Linked DNA regions of Cricetulus griseus. The protein of the gene in region 2 purifies or fractionates together with the protein of the main gene of each other region. This does not show direct contact. Links are inferred from orthologs where the notes say so. Each region holds a gene or a part of one and is shown on either strand. Other genes may lie near its edges. The genes, in order: Nktr, Snip1, Rnps1 and Pnn.

What was found.
Region 1: the proteins of Snip1 (region 2) and Nktr purify together in Homo sapiens (affinity purification with mass spectrometry; 3 studies listed by BioGRID and IntAct, counting the BioPlex papers as one, with this or other methods). This does not show direct contact. The link is inferred for Cricetulus griseus from reciprocal best matches to the Homo sapiens genes SNIP1 and NKTR.
Region 3: the proteins of Snip1 (region 2) and Rnps1 purify together in Homo sapiens (affinity purification with mass spectrometry; 4 studies listed by BioGRID and IntAct, counting the BioPlex papers as one, with this or other methods). This does not show direct contact. The link is inferred for Cricetulus griseus from reciprocal best matches to the Homo sapiens genes SNIP1 and RNPS1.
Region 4: the proteins of Snip1 (region 2) and Pnn purify together in Homo sapiens (affinity purification with mass spectrometry; 4 studies listed by BioGRID and IntAct, counting the BioPlex papers as one, with this or other methods). This does not show direct contact. The link is inferred for Cricetulus griseus from reciprocal best matches to the Homo sapiens genes SNIP1 and PNN.

The regions. Positions count from the first base shown.
Region 1 is NC_048597.1:228,741,423-228,745,338, forward strand, and holds part of Nktr (NK-tumor recognition protein), read left to right. Parts: intron 1-76; coding exon 77-232; intron 233-3,263; coding exon 3,264-3,351; intron 3,352-3,650; exon of another isoform or gene 3,651-3,916. UniProt on the Homo sapiens protein: PPIase that catalyzes the cis-trans isomerization of proline imidic peptide bonds in oligopeptides and may therefore assist protein folding. Component of a putative tumor-recognition complex involved in the function of NK cells.
Region 2 is NC_048595.1:27,983,268-27,987,183, forward strand, and holds part of Snip1 (smad nuclear-interacting protein 1), read right to left. Parts: intron 2,198-3,916; coding exon 1,614-2,197; intron 785-1,613; coding exon 520-784; 3' UTR 1-519. UniProt on the Homo sapiens protein: Required for pre-mRNA splicing as component of the spliceosome. As a component of the minor spliceosome, involved in the splicing of U12-type introns in pre-mRNAs. Down-regulates NF-kappa-B signaling by competing with RELA for CREBBP/EP300 binding.
Region 3 is NC_048600.1:43,961,552-43,965,467, reverse strand, and holds part of Rnps1 (RNA-binding protein with serine-rich domain 1), read right to left. Parts: intron 3,269-3,916; coding exon 3,166-3,268; intron 2,860-3,165; coding exon 2,706-2,859; intron 534-2,705; coding exon 392-533; intron 1-391. UniProt on the Homo sapiens protein: Part of pre- and post-splicing multiprotein mRNP complexes. Auxiliary component of the splicing-dependent multiprotein exon junction complex (EJC) deposited at splice junction on mRNAs.
Region 4 is NC_048598.1:143,477,249-143,481,777, reverse strand, and holds the start of Pnn (pinin), read left to right. Parts: upstream 1-1,691; 5' UTR 1,692-1,765; coding exon 1,766-1,878; intron 1,879-2,544; coding exon 2,545-2,616; intron 2,617-3,320; coding exon 3,321-3,389; intron 3,390-3,767; coding exon 3,768-3,840; intron 3,841-3,923; coding exon 3,924-4,018; intron 4,019-4,151; coding exon 4,152-4,227; intron 4,228-4,529. UniProt on the Homo sapiens protein: Transcriptional activator binding to the E-box 1 core sequence of the E-cadherin promoter gene; the core-binding sequence is 5'CAGGTG-3'. Capable of reversing CTBP1-mediated transcription repression.

The DNA.
Region 1 (3,916 bases), on a different chromosome or scaffold from region 2:
CTTCAGGGTGAGTGCACTTTGCTGCCTTTATTTTATAAAATACTGGCATCTAAATTGGTGACTTGATTTATTGCAGTTATTCTGGAAGGAGTGATGTGAATGAAAAAGGGTCAGGTGACTGGAGTGCTAAGAGAGAAAAGCCGGTTGTCCGTCCAGAAGAGATCCCTCCAGTCCCTGAGAACCGGTTCTTACTTCGCAGAGATATGCCTGCTGTCACAGTGGAGCCTGAACCGTAAGTAGGCTGATGAGCACAGTCCTCTTCTCCAAGGCAGGAGTACGACAACATATTGATTGGCTATAACATACATACATACATACATACATACATACATACATACATACATACATGAGTCATTTACTTACTGATTGGCTGGACGACTTTGGAAATTTATTTTGTTTTTTACACCTGCAAGTCCATAGGACAGCTAGGTTTTTTTGTTTGTTTGTTTGTTTGTTTGTTTGTTTGTTTTGTTTTGTTTTTTCCCCTCAGGGAACATGCAGAGGGTATGCCAGGGAGGAGTGCTGTCACTCGGCTGGCTTTCTCCTGCCTCTTGTAATCTCCCTGGCCCTAGCACATGGGATAGTTAGTGTGCCCAGTCTCTTAGGTGACTGGATATCCAGGCAAGTTAACAGCAATGATTAGCTATTGCCCTGTATATTTTTGTTTCTCTGATGGGTAAGTCCATTATTTCATTGCAACTTTAGACTCACCATGACTCGGGCTCAGAGTACACAGAAAGATAGTTTGGGTGATCAGCAGAGCTCTGAGTGGCTTGTGCCTCCTTTATTGAATCCACATTTGATACATGAACAGGTAAAGGAAGTGGGCAGGTTATTCACTGAAGGTATGCTTTGCTGTGGTGGTTAGGTGGTTTTGTCTGCTTATGGATCTCGCTGTGTGTCACAGGCGAGCCTTGAACTTGGGATGCTTCTGCTTTACCCCCCAGAGTATTGGGTTGCAGGTGTGTCTTTGCTGCCACGCTGGTGGGGAGGGAAGCGTTTGTGAGAGCTATGGGAGCATTGCATCGCTGCTCTTGCTGCACTGTAATGCAGTTGTTCACACTGGGCTATCAGGTGGATTGCACCTAGGGCATCCAAATGAGTGGGGACATCTGTTTCACTTTGTTTTGTTTTGTTTTCTGATTTTTCGAGACAGGGTTTCTCTGTGTAGCTTTGTAGACAGGCTGACCTCAAACTCACAGAGATCCGCCTGCCTCTGCCTCCCGAGTGCTGGGATTAAAGGTGTGCGCCACCACGTGGCTCTGTTTCACTTTATTGGTTTTTTTTTTTTTTTAAAGATTTTATTTATTTATTATGTATACAACATTCTGCTTCCATGTATATCTGCACACCAGAAGAGGGCACCAGATCTCATAACGGATGGTTGTGAGCCACCATGTGGTTGCTGGGAATTGAACTCAGGACCTCTGGAAGAGTAGTCGGTGCTCTTAAACCTCTGAGCCATGTCTCCAGCCCCATCTGTTTCACTTTTAATAGTGCAAAGTTAATTACATAATGACCGAAGATAGTTTGCTATCATAAATATTACTGTAGTTAATTTCCCTGAATTGTGGCTTTAGAGTTAGTCTCAGCAAATAGTATTTAATATACTTTGTGTAATAGATTTCAATTCAGAATTATTAAAAGGATATGAGCATGGTGATATATGCATGTAGCCTAGCCATGGGGAAGGTTTTTTTTAATGTGTGAAAAGATTTTGTTTTTATTTATTCAATGTGTCTTTCATATCACCCATCTGGATACCATTCATTTCCCTGTCTGTCCCTTTGCATCTGCCCTCTGCCTCTGCAAGCCTCCCCTCCCCCAAATAAAACACAATGTAAGAAAGAAAAGGAAAACATTAATAATCTCATCATGGAAGCTGCGTTGTGGCACAGTGTGTCATGTAATAAACCCCTTTGTTCATGTATCTTATAAGTGTTTATTGCAAAGGGTCATTGGTCCACTTCTAGGCCTCTGGCTTCTGCTTCACCATTGATGTTTGGCCCTCACTGAGACTCCTCTTGGTTATCCTGCTGTTGCCTGGGTTGTGGAGATCCTGCAGCTTTGGGTCTGCAGGTCAGGCCCCTTCATGTGCTCCAGCAGATGATAGATGGGGCAGGCCAAATCAGAACCTTGGTTCTGGGCCTGGGCAGCTGTAGGGTTGGTTAGCCAGCCAGTCAGTTCTCCCCTCTCCTCACCACCAGGGTGAGCTTTGCAGCGTTGCCCCAGCTGATTGACCTCTTGCAGCAATGAGCTAGGGGCGGGGCCAGTTCTGCTTTCACGCCCTTAGGGTTGACTCTCTCCCACCGACACCACAGGGCCAGCTCTGCTGTGCTGCCCAGGGGAGGAGCAGGGCCTGCTTTCCTGGTGCTGCAGCTGGCAAGGGGGAGAGGCATGCTGCTCGTGTGTTGCAGGCAGTAAGTGGTGGGGGCACCTCGCCCCACTTACAGTCTCCACGTTGGCTCACCCACACCTCTGCCATCAGGGTTAGCTCTATTGTGCTGCCCAGCCTAGGTGCGGGGCCTGATTTCCTAGTGTTGTAGCCCCTAGAGGGCAGGGACAGCTGGGGAGTATCATTTGACCTCGGGAGTGGTGTCCATCCTGAACAACATCACAAGGTGTAATCTCAAAAGAGGGAGGTGGGGAGGGAGAAGGAGGGAAAACTGTGATGCCTGAACAACAATGCTGCAGTGCCTGGTGCAAGTGGTGTGTCCCTGTGAGCAGCTGCTGAGAAAGCCGAGCAGCGAAGCACAGCTGCACCGCTGCCCTGCACAGCCTCCTGTGTGCTTGTTTACTTGTGACGCAGGGTCCTGCTGGGTGGCCTAGGCTGCCATCGAACTCCCCACATGCTGAGATTACAGGCATGTGCTGGCATGGCTGGCTTCCTTCAAAAATCTTTTACTTAAAAAAAAAAAGCATTTATTAGAAGATGAAATGCTTGTTTTTCAAGTGCATATTTACTAATGGAATTCTTCTAGGGCAGGGTAACTCTCATCAAGAGCTCAAGTCAGTGTTCTCTGTTAGATCAGTTATTAGAGCTGTTGATCTGACAGTCTGCAGTGAGAGTTCACTCACCTCATGTTTGCAGGGTCATGTATGTAGCACTTGAAATGCTGACTGTACCTGGTGATGTGTGCTGCACCTCCTAGCTGCGTGAGGGAGCTCAGAAATAGCTGGATGGATGTGACTGCTCTCATAAAACTTTATGGGAAGACATTCTGGCGTCTGCCCATCTTTAATTGTCATCACCACTTTTTCAGGAACATCCCAGATGTTGCACCTGTTGTAAGTGATCAGAAACCATCTGTATCAAAGTCTGGAAGGAAAATTAGAGGAAGAGGCACAATTGTACGTATGTTAGAACTTTTTTCTTTCAAATTGCTTACCTAAATAGTAACTTTTTAAAATTTAAAGATCTGAGGTTTAGTTTTAGATAGATTATTTCTCGTGTCAGGCCGTGGTGGCACACTTTTTTTTTTTTTCTCTCTTGAGACAGGGGGTGGCACATACTTTTAATTCCAGTACTTGGGAGATGGAGGCAGGTGGATCTCTGAGATTGAAGCCATCCTGGTCTACAGAGTGAGCTCCAGGACAGCCAGGGCTGCACAGAGAAACCCTGTCTAAAGAAAAAGAAAAGAAAAAGACTATTTTACTTATTTAAGGAATTGTTTTTTATTTCCCATAGTTTGGGAAGGTACTCACTCCCATCGCATACATTTACAGCTGTGGGTAGATTTAATTATTCAGTGATGTAATACATGAAAAGGTATATTGAGAAATCTTAGTCTATGGAGTACTGGAGGCCAGAATGTGTTAGGACTGCAACGGGAGCCATTAAAGGATTCCAGGTAAATGTCTTGTCTTTCTCGCCTCTCAGTGTCTTATATTTGAAGTAACTCCATAGTATCCAGTT
Region 2 (3,916 bases):
GTAAATTGTCACCCCCAAAAAAACGAAGTGCAAAATGAACTTCTATGACTCAAGAGCTGACCCAGGCCAAAGCTTTGGTATAAGCTGGAGGCTGTTTTGGTGACAACCAAAGCTTACTGAGATTCTCTGCTCTAGGGTTTGTCACCAAAACAAAACTCCTGGTCCACAAAGCTCAACGACTATATAAATAAGAAACTGTACAAAGAGAACAAGCCACAATCCCCTTTCCAAGGGCTTAAGTTTCCTGTGCAGCAGTTCTGAAGGCACCCACTACAGCCACACACTTTGACCAAAACTCAACATGCTGTAATTGGTGAGATTGTTCTGAAAACAAGCGCCCACAGGCAGGCGGCTGCTGTGCCAAGTTCAACAAAACACGAAGTGAGAGTTCTCATACTGCAACACAAGCTGGGCAGCAACAGAGAAAAGACTTAAGGCAAGAAGAGGCGCTGGAGTCAACCCCATGGCCTCCAGGAGGAACGGATTCTCATGGGGGAGGGGGTGGGTGCTTCTCAGTTGCTAGCTGTCAGACACCATTTCCTCCTCCTCGTCATCTTCGTCTTCCTTTCTATCTAGTTCAGATGTGTCTGAAGACTCATGGAGCAAGACATATTCTCTGCTACTGAACCCAAATTTAAGGACGTCTTTTTCCTTCAGTTCATAGTACCTCTGTGGTTCAATACGCTTGTTGTTTAGGAAGGTCCCGTTGCCTGAGCCCAGATCAATGATGTAGGGTTTCACCCTCCGACCAACTGTGCCGTCAGCACGAGTGTACTCCACAAGCCTAGAAGAGACCAGTGAGAGAAGCATGTGAGCAAGTCCTACCAGGGACCATCTACTCTGCAGCTCTCTGCTACAGATCTAGATGTCACTGACCTGACTCGAACATGGTTCAAACAAAACCTCTGGAAGGTCACAGGGGAAGCACTGCCCTGGACAGGGAAATTGGGAGCAGTTTAAATATATCTAAGAGAAAAAGTAGAGCTGGCTGTGGGTGGTGGGTGGGGATGGAGGGCCATGAGATATCCCAATGTAGAACTCAAGGCTTCTTGCTATGGCTACAAATATACTTCCTCCAATGCTGTACAGCTATTTTAGCACCAGCCCAAATGGGGAAAAACATTAGAATGAGATGAGACTTTCGTGTCAAGGGCGGGATATGAGACAGAGCTCTGCTCTGAAGATCATTACTGCTACCAGCAACTGTGCTGAGCTGCAGTTTTCCCAGATGTCAAATGAGGATGTTAACACTGGTCCTGTTTTCCCACGGGACTGTGGAGGATCAGATAGTAACGGTAATATGATCTAAGCAGCAGATTCAGCCAGCATATACCTGGCATTCTGACTCTGGCTTATACTTGCTTGGCCTTCTGACACCTGAGATTATAGGCCTGCACCACCGCAATGATAGCGGCTAATCTGGGTTTCTGATATCAAGTTCAAGATTCTCACACAAATGTTAAGAGATTACTCAAGGACTGCTAGACTCTTTCAGCCCAGCTTATTAGATACAAGGTGTAATGGCCTCTTCTGCATCTCCACAAACAGCATAGGGGTCCTCAATGAGACACTCACCCCAGCTCCCTTTCCAGTCCTCCTCCTGGTCTACCTACCGATACTGGAAGACTGCGTGCTGCTTTGAGCAGGAGGGATGGTCGATGGGAATGTCGGCGATGCGGCGATGTCGGCCCAGAAGGTAAGCACTCTGCCGATGGATGTACATGACGGGAAGTACCTCATCATTTTTAAAGGGGTACAGACGCCACCGTTTTTTTGGGATCCGGGCTTCTGGGGGCTCACTGTACTTAATAACCACACCCCGGAAGGTATTGGTGTCCTCAAGAAGTGCCCCAGAAAGTTCAAAGCTTGGTTTTTCTTTAACAGGCACCTCTCTGCTTCTGTTACCAGCAGGGCGAGGGATCACCTCCTGAGCTTCACCGCCAGCACCTTCATTCTGCTGACGATGCTCCCGGCGCCTGGCATTATGAAAGTCCCTTTCTTCTTCCTGGGCCTGCAGAATTTGGCTGTCTCGGTCCCGACCCTGACCACTGACAGGCCTCTCATCAGAGCTCCTCTTTTGGCGGGAATGGCCCCGGTGCCGGTCTCGCTCACTGTTACGAGCTCTCCTCTGCTCCTGTTCTGATGGCTCTCGGTGCTGCCGATCTTCTCGTCCTCTCCGAGGATGGTCCTCACGTTCCTGAAATTAAGATGCATTCAGTAAAGGAAAGACGGCTTCTACTCTGTGAATAAGCTGTCAGGGCTGGGGAGATGGCTCAGCAGTTAAGAGCACTGACTGCTGTTCCAGGACCCAGGTTCAGTTCCTAGCACCCACATAACTGTTCACAATCTGTGACTATCATTCCAAGGGGATCCAATGCTCTCTTGTGGTAAGCATGGGCACTGCATCTATATGGTGTAGATATCCATGCAGGCAAAACACCCACACACATAAAATAATTAAATCCCCCAAAATGAACAACACATCTATAACCTGAGTGCTGATGATATTCAGAGCAAATTCCTATCTACACAAGACTATCTGTTCTATTCCCCTGGAGTGTCATCTGTGGTAGTTCTGTTCCCCTGGAGGGCCATTATGACTATACTCCATGCTGCTCCTCAAATACAGGCCTGATAGCCCAAGCCCACATCCAGAGCCCTCAAAACAAGAGGCTGATACAGAGGGAAGGAGAAATAATATTCCCATCAGTCACCTGCTAGCAAACTCACAGGGCAGCATGTGTAGAAAACAGAACAGAGTAGCCAGGTGGTGGTGGTGGTTCACTCCATTAATCCCAGCACCTGGGAGGCAAAGGCAGGTGGATCTCTGAGTTTGAGGCCAGCCTAGTCTACAGAGTGAGTTCCAAGACAGCCAGCCAAGGCTACACAAAACCTGTCCTCCCTCCAGAGAGAAAAAGAGAGGAAGGGAGGGAGGGGGAGAGAAGGAGGGGGAGGGGGGACAGAACCATTACATTTATGTAAAGGAAAAAGTCAACTTCCTCATAAGCCAAAAAGAAACTGAAATAATTTCAAAAGCTCCAGCTTCAACAATTACATACTAAAAATCAGCCTGGCATGGGGCTGGAGAGATGGCTCAAAGGTTAAGAGCACTGACTGCTCTACCAGAGGTCCTGAATTCGATTCCCAGCAACCACATAGTGGCTCACAACCATCTGTAAAAAGATCTGGTGCCCTCTTCTGGCCTGCAGGCATACATCCAGACAGGACACTGTATGCATAATAAATGAATAAATCTTTAAAAAAAAAAAATCAGCCTGGCAGAAACTACAATACACATAACACACCAGTAGATCAATGAGAGACTGATGGTGGTGGCACATGCTTTTGACCCCAGTATTCAGGGGGTAGGGACAGGCAGGCCTCTGTGAGTTTGAGGCCAGTCTGATCTACAGAGTTCCAGCATGCTATTACACAGGAAGGCTATCACACAAAGAAATGCTGTCTCAAAAAAACAAGGACAAAAACAGACCAATGAGAAATCAATCAGTAATCAGCCAGTCCACAGGCAAAGCCTCAACAGCAGTCTCCAGAAGAAGCTAACAGTTAGTGACCACCTGTCTCGCTAGGAACCAGAGGACCAATGTTAAAATAGAAATTTTCTCAGATTTGCTAAATTAAAAAGGTCAGGAATAGCTACTATCAAAGGAGAAGGGACTGGGGCTGCACTCAGGAGGAAGAGGCAGAGTTTCAGGTCAGCCAAGTGATATAGTGAGAATGAGAACCTAAATCCATGGGGGGCGGGGGGGATCGTGTTCTAGGCCTAGCCAGGGCTGGTGGCTCTTGGCTTTAATCCCAGCACTTGGGAGGCAGAGGCAGGTGAATCTCTTTTGAGTTCAAGGCCAGCCTGGTCTACAGAACAAGATCCAGGACAGTTAGAGCTACACAGAGAAAGCCT
Region 3 (3,916 bases), on a different chromosome or scaffold from region 2:
TAAGACAATCATAATCTTGTTTACAACCATACGAACTGTCTGACCCTAAAGCTTTTCTCTTAACCCCTCTTAGAGTCTATAGTTTTTGTTTTTCAAACAGTGTCTTTTCTCTGTATAACCCTGGCTGTCCTTGACCTCAGAGATCCACCTGCCTCTGCCTCCTGTATTCTGGCATTAGAGGCCTGTACCACCCTGCCAAGAAGGCCACCCAGGAATGAACCTGGTTTCCAGGGGGCCTGTGCTAACTCAGATTTTATAGATATGGGTTCCTTGGACTGGCCTCATCTGCCTGTCAATAACAACGAAGGACCCCAAAATCATCACAGCCATTCAGGTGTATAATTCACATAAAGAAGCCAAATGGGTCAAGGACAATTCCAAATTAACTCACCTCCTCCTCATCCGTGGGGGTGACCTGCGCCACATGGGAGGCGGTGGAAGCATTCTCCTGGGTGGGCTGAATCGCCGTGGGGGTGGTCTAGGCCAGGGTGCCAACACGGCAGTAGCAGTGATCTCTTGGCCATCTATTTGTCCTGTAGAAAAAAGGGACAAAAGCATAAAAGCTCTAATATTAAATACTTAACATACTCACACCTGTGATGGTGTGTGACACATGCCGCAAATCTCAGCACTCAGGAGGTAGAGTACCCTTAATTAGCTTTGTCAAAGTGAAACAGGTAGGTATGATGGCCACACCTTTAATTCCAGCATTTGAGAAGCAGAGATAGAACAGGTGGATCTCTTGAGAATTTGTAGCCAGCCTGGTCTACATTGTAAGTTCCAGGTAAGACCAAAGAGAGGTACATAGGGAGACCCTGTCTCAAATACAAGACAAAATCCCGCCTATTCCAGACAAGCACAAAGTCAGGTGTTCAGCATACCAAGGTAAATAATCATTAGATAACCCCAGATAGCTGGGCAGTGGTGGTGCACGCCTTTAATCCCAGCACTTGAGAAGCAGAGGCAGGTGAGGTGAATCTGTGTGAGTCTGAGGTCAGCTTGGTCTACAGAGGGAGTTCCAGGACAGCCAGGGTTGTTAAAATTAAACAAACAAAAAACAGCAACAGGACATAAGATCCAACTGAATAGGAACAACTTCCCAGAAGATACACAAGCCACGCAAAGTTCTGAAGAATGTGTTGAATCTTGCTAGGTAGAAGACACAGAAGGACCAACAGTGGGACAAGTGACAAGATAGCACAGGACTTATGGGCATGATTGAGGCTCTTGGCAGGGACAGGAAGAGGACAAAGTCAGGAACATACAGGGTCTCAGAGAGAAAAAAAGCAAAGAGCATTGAGACGCGGACGTGGGAACACCTAACAGTTGCAGACTGTCTCCACATCTAGGGTCCCTAGGGCCCAAACCTAGCTCATCTGTGTCAACAATGGGCATAACTCTTCTTACCTTGCAGTACCTAGGGGCTCATTCAAACACATCCATTTAATGCCAGTGGTTAAACATAACTAAACCCAGCCTAATCCCACAGCCAAACCATTGCAAGAATGTCATTGCACTAACTGAATAGATAAGATACATCTATCATTTAGCCAGTCGTCTTTAAGGCCACTCTTCATGTCTCTAATTCCCTGGGTTTTTAAAAACTGATTAGCAATGCTCACTCTGGCAATACCAGATGATAAGCAGACTTTGAAAGTGAAAGTGATTCACAAGATCTGAGCTGACAAGAATGATACAGGTAGCTTATGCTGAACTCTTGAAACACTTGAGGCAGCCTAAAGTGAATTAAAAGTGGCTTACATATCAAAGAAAATCCACAATCAAAGGCAGTCATTGAAAACCAACAAAACCCTAACTGAAACTTTTAAGATATTAGTAAAGCTAACAGGCATCAAGCTGCCAGTTCTCAGTCTCAGTGGCCTACATCCTAGAGCTGGACACAAACTGCATTCTCTAAAACGCTGATTTGAAGACCACCAAAACCCATTCGGAAGTTAACACTTAATCCCATCACCAGGGAGGCAGAGGCAGGAGGATCTCTGTGAGTTCAAGGCCAGCCAGCTCTACACAGCTAGTTCCAGGACAGCTAGAGTGGTTTACAAAGAAAAATCCTGTCTCAAATCCCCCCCACCCCAAACCGTAAACCAAATTAAACAAACACAAAAAACCCATTCTACCATTATAGTTATGTTAAAAAACATGTACCATGTACCCATGCAGCAAAATAATCCCAAAATGCTGAAATGTTGGCAAAATTGAAAAGCATTCTCAAAATGATAAAAGAAAATATTCATTTGATCCACAGGTTTTTTTCTTTTTTTCTTTATTATGTATACATTCTTGTGTCTGCATGCCAGCAGAGGGCACCAGATCTCATTTGGGTGGTTGTGAGCCACCATGTGGTTGCTGGGAATTGAACTCAGGACCTCTGGAGGAAGAGCCAGTGCTCTTAACCGCTGAGCCATTTCTCCAGCCCCCTGATCCACAGGTTTTTAACAGGTTGAAAAATTCTTAAAATGCTAATATATTCATATTTGCTGACTTTTTCTTTTCAGGATAGTGAGTGCTTCAGAAAACATGTTCTTGGTAAATACACCCCACTGAGCAAGAACCAGAATCTACAAAGGGCTCTGCTGAGACTCAGAAGCACCTGGGTTGGAAATCTACTCCAAGGGTCCCACAAGCAATCAGGTTGTCTATGAGGACAGATGTGACAGGGCTGAGGTGGCCACAGGATCACTAACCTCCATCCATGTGTTTCAGTGCCTTCTCTGCCTCATCTGGATTCTCAAACTCCACATATGCGTAGCCTTTGGACAGATGAGGATGCATCCTTTCTACAGGCATGTCAATCATTTTAATTTTTCCATAAGTAGAAAATATTTCCATGATATGATCCTAGAGAAAGAAGATCACATCCTTGCTTACCCATCTATTACTTAACTGTCAAAGGGGAATTCACTAAAAACTGAGTAAATCCCCAGTAGTGTTAAAACATCCTGCCATTTGACAAGATGTGTCACTGGGGCCAAAGTGTCCTGGGCATAAGTCTAATGGATTAAGTCCATCAAAAAGGATTAAGCAGCGTTCCAATCAAGCCATGGGCTACTTCTTTGAAAGAAGGATTACATCCTAGATGTACTAGTTGCCAGACACCAGCTTGTTCAGCCACACAACCCAATCCTCATGATCTGAGATTCTTACCTTGGTCACATTCCTGGTAAGCCTCCCAATGTGCACCTTGGTGGGTTTAGGTGAAGGGCTTCGCCTCTTCCTTTCCTTTTCATCTCTTTTAGGTGGTTTGGATCTGAAAATAAAATTTTCAATATCCATTAACTATAATGGGTCTGGAGGTAGAATTCAGGACAAGGTCCCAGATTTGGCTGGCTCCCAGCTCTGAAAACGGGCAAATATCAGCGGGGTGTGGTGGTATATGCCTAAAATCCCAGCACCCAGGAGGGTACATGGGGATGAGGACTAATCTTGTGACACTATAAGCCAGTTCCAATTAAATGTTTTCCCTTAGCTGGATGGTGGTGGTGCACGCCTTTACTCCCAGCACTTGGGAGGTAGAGGCAGGCAGATCTCTGTGAATTTGAGGCCAGCCCGCTCTACAGAGCCATTTTAGGACAGCTAAAACCACATACAGAGAGACCCTGCCCTGAAAAACCAAATAAATAGGAAAAAAAGAAAAAGCTTTCCTTTATAAGAATTGCCTTGGTCATGTCTTTTCACAACAGTAGAACATTAACTAATACATTATTCCCGATTTAGAAACCCTTCAAATTAAAACATACACCCACCCATACCCACACACCCCTTGTATTCTGTGTGGGCGTGTAACAAGGTAACACGTGTGGAGGTTAGAGGATAAGTTGTAGAAGCTGGGTCTCTCAGCCTCTTCCATGTGTGTTCCAGGGACAGGGACTCTGGTGGATAGGCTTGGCAGCGAGCA
Region 4 (4,529 bases), on a different chromosome or scaffold from region 2:
ACCAAGACCGACAACCTAAATTTCATCCCGAAATTCCATATGGTGAAAAGGAAAACTGTTGTTTTGTTTGTTTGTTTGTTTTGGTTTTTTCGAGACAGGGTTTCTCTGTGGCTTTTGGAGGCTGTCCTGGAACTAGCTCTAAAAGGAAAACTGACTCCATGAAGTTGTCCTCTGACCTCGTGTGTATACATACATATATGAACACATTGAAAATAAATTAAGCAAAATAAAATTTTGTTTCGTTTTGTTTTTTGAGACAGGGTTTCTCTGTATTGCTTTGGAGGTTGTCCTGGAACTTGATCTGTAAACCAGGATGGCCTCCAACTCACAGAGATCCACCTGCCTCTGCCTCCTGAGTGCTGGAACTAAAGGCGTGTGCCACCAATGCCCAGCTAAATATAATAAAAAAATTTTATATAATTTATAGAATGAATTTACTAGTCACATCTTTTCATTGGCTGCATTTTACCAACAAAATATTTTGTTTGATACCTGGCCTTTAGCATATAAGACACTATGGGTTCTTATAGTGTCATTACCTCTTAGATGGCATATTATATATCAAACTATATATATATGCATACACATATACATATATATACATACACACACACACACACACACACACACACATATATATATATATATATATATATATTGCCTTTTTTCGAGACAGGGTTTCTCTGTTGCTTTGGAGCCTATCCTGGAACTAGTTCTGTAAGCCAGGAGGCCTAAAACTCACAGAGATCCGCCTGCCTCTGCCTCCCCAGTGCAGAGATTAAAGGTATGTGTCACCACCACCTGGAAAAAATTCTCATTCTTTTTCATGAAGCAATCCTCTAAGGATTTGATCTCTGTGCAACGTTTTCTGAAATACAAGCTGTCCATCTATTCTGGAACACAACCAGTTCCAATGTTGGCTGTGCAGGAAGGTCAGAGGGAAATCTGGGAAACACACACAACAAAATACTGGCCACTTCCCCAGGCCCACTATTAAATTAGCGGGCTCTAGGCCTGGTGAAGATTAAGGCAGTCAGTCTTGCTCCGGTCAGATCACAAACGACCTCTCAATATAGATCTGACTTGACCTGCTTGACCTAGGGAAACCGAAGCCTCCATTCACTTATTATTAATAACCATTTTACCCAAGTTTCTAATATTTAACGACTAAGGCATGCGAAACGAAACGCAGTTTCCACAATTATTATCTGTTAGGAGGAAGACCCGTGGTGGTTCTTCGCTTTAGGTTCAGTTCACTTTAATGGAAGGCAGCCTGCACCTCCCTGCCCTCTGGGCATGCGCAACAGCCTATAAATTGCCATGCCCTTTCCTAACTAAATCTCTTGTGAAGGGAAAGAAGGGAAGATACAGTCGCTTCCGTCGCTTCCGTCCCCTGGGTGTGAGTGGATGTTTAAAATCGCTATAAAGTGAACGGCACCGCAGATTTAAGAGGGCTGCCTTCGCAGACGCGCAAGCTCGCGTCTACCACACGGACATAATCCCTCCCCGCTCTGCGCAAGAAGCAGAGCGCAACCACCCGCAGGCGGCGAGGGGGAGGAGCTGACCGCCGTGCCGGCTTCTCATTGGCCCGGAGTCACGGAGCTGCGGGCTTCTTCCCCTTCCGATCCCTGGGTGGTTGAGACCGAAAACTAAAGCCTGCGGTGATTGGCTGGGGCGGGCTGTCAGTCCTTCCGCGTCTGGCGGCGGGCGCGGCGCGGCACTGCGCGGCCTGTAGAGCAGTCGCGAAGCCTGCTGCAGAGAGAAGATGGCGGTCGCGGTGAGAACTTTGCAGGAGCAGCTGGAGAAGGCCAAAGAGAGCCTCAAGAACGTAGACGAGAACATCCGCAAGCTCACCGGGCGGGACCCAAATGATGTGAGGTAAGGGTGGGATGGAACATGCGAGGTGGGCGAGACACTCCTCGGGTCGGGGCGAACAGGGGCGAGAGGGCAGCCGGCCGGTTGTGGGCCGTCTGGGGTCAAGAAGCCTCTCTCCCGGGCAGCGGCCGAGCACGCTTCTCGGTTAGGGGGCGAGACGCCATCCCTGCGTCCCCGGGCGAGGGGAGCCAGGGCTTGCGGAGGCCGAGCGAACCTGACTGCGCGGCATGGCTTCCGCACCCGTGGGAAGGCCGAGACCACGGCTTCCCGCCCTTGGCGCCGCAGGCCCGGAACTGCAGTACAAAGCCCCTTCCCACCCCGCCGTCCCCCGGCCCGCGCCAAAGCGGAGATGCCCGGCCCATGCGGGTGGCCGCCTCTCTCCCTACCCTGGACTGTGTGTCCCTCCCTCCCTTGGGGCTGGCAGATAGGAGCTAATCCAGCCTTATTAATTAATGTGTAGCGGTTTCGAGGTAAATATATTTCCCGAAATACTGCGTTTGGGGAAACCAGGAAGAGGATAGTAATGTCCTGTCTCATAGAAGTGGCTCTGAAACCGTCGTTTTAGAACTGTGTTCAGTTTTCCTTAGGGTGTACCACACCTGTGGAAGTATATGATGCCCTTGCGGATGACTACATAGGATTTTTGAACTGATTATAAATCTTTTGTAGGCCCATCCAAGCCAGATTGCTGGCCCTTTCTGGTCCTGGTGGAGGTAGAGGACGTGGTAGTTTATTGCTAAGGTAAGATCTTTCATATATGCTAACTAATGCTAAAATTTATCAACTTAAAAGAGTTATCAGGAGCTGGGGTGGTGGTCCATACCTTTAGTCCTAGCACGCAGGAGGCAAAGGCAGTGTGGTCTAAAAACGAGTTCCAGGACTGTTACACAGAAAAATCCTGGGGGGTGCAGGTCGGGGGGAGGGGGATTAGGTTGAATCAAATATATAGATAGATGTAGTGACCTGCCAGGTTTCTAATAAATGTATTGCAAAAGTAGAGGTTGAGCCGGGCATTGGTGGCGCACACGTTTAATCCCAGTACTCGGAAGGAGGCAGAGGCAGGCGGATTTCTGAGTTAGAGGCCAGCCTGGTCTACAAGAGCTAGTTCCAGGACAGGCTCCAAAACAATACAGAGAAACCCTGTCTTGAAAAACAAAAACAACAGAGTAGGGGTGGAAGAATATTAATTAGAACTGTTTCATATAAGCTTAATTGTGTTTTTGAGTACTGTAAATGTTTTTTGGCATCCGAGAATATAATTGGTGGTGGTAAAGTGTTTTGCAAGCCCCAGCAAGGGAAGAAGGCAACTCTTTTCCTGTGGATGCTAAGTTTACTTCATTTGGAAATGTTTTTATTTTTATAAAATCAGTTAAAATCATTCACCAACTGGAAATATCAATTTATCCTATGTTTCTCAGTCTTTCTGTTGGATGTTTTAATTGCAGGCGTGGATTCTCAGATAGTGGAGGAGGACCCCCAGCCAAACAGAGAGACCTGGAAGGGGCAGTCAGTAGGTATGTTTTCAGATTTCTGAAGCATCGGTATATGCATCATCTACTTCTGTATTTGTATTGGGATTTAGTGGCCTGTGGCTTCTCTCTGGAGTCCCTTTGGGTGTTTGAACTGTGCTAGCCAGTGTCTTACAAAAGTCTGTGGGATTGGAAGAAGCAATACTTTCTGTTTTGTACTTTGAAAACCATTGTGAGAAACGTGGGTACAGTGAAAGAGCCAAGTTTTGTGTGAACATTTTGCTTCTATTTTTTCACTGACAGGTAAATGAGATATAAGCTGATAGCATGTGGCTTCTGGAGAGGAGTCCTAGAAAACTCCCTTCCCTTGATGTGCACTTGATTCTGCAGTTCTCATTTAGATTATTTTTTTTCCTGTGATAGGCTGGGTGGGGAGCGTCGGACAAGAAGAGAATCACGCCAGGAAAGCGACCCAGAAGATGATGATGTCAAAAAGGTATTGAAATTAAATATTAGTGCATTTTGAAAAGCATGTTACCCATGTGCAGGAAATCACCAATATTTCCTTTTCTCTTGTAGCCAGCACTGCAGTCTTCTGTTGTAGCTACCTCCAAAGAGCGTACACGTAGAGACCTCATCCAGGATCAAAATATGGATGAAAAGGGAAAGCAAAGGTATCTGCAGAACTTGTCTGATAATAGCATACTAAGAAAAATTACACTCTTTTAAATGCCTTTAGCATCTCTTAGAAAATGGCGGGTTTAGTGTGGGTCATGCAGACATTGATTTTCTTTTGCTTTTTCTTAGGAACCGACGAATATTTGGCTTGTTGATGGGCACCCTTCAAAAATTCAAACAAGAATCTACCGTTGCAACTGAAAGGGTATTGCTGCAATTTTTGTTTTTCCTCATTTACTCATTACCAAATAGGGCACTAACGTTTTTAAAAAGAGCTTGAACTTTTTGTTTGTTTGTTTGTTTGTTTGTTTGTTTTTCGAGCAGGGTTTCTCTGTGGCTTTGAAGGCTGTCCTGGAACTAGCTCTTGTAGACCAGACTGGTCACGAACTCACAAGAGATCCAACTGCCTCTGCCTCCCGAGTGCTGGGATTTAAAGGCGTTCGCCACCAATGCCCGGCTGAACATTCTCTTTACTTTTGTGATAAGGACTTTTGCTAAGCTAAGGCT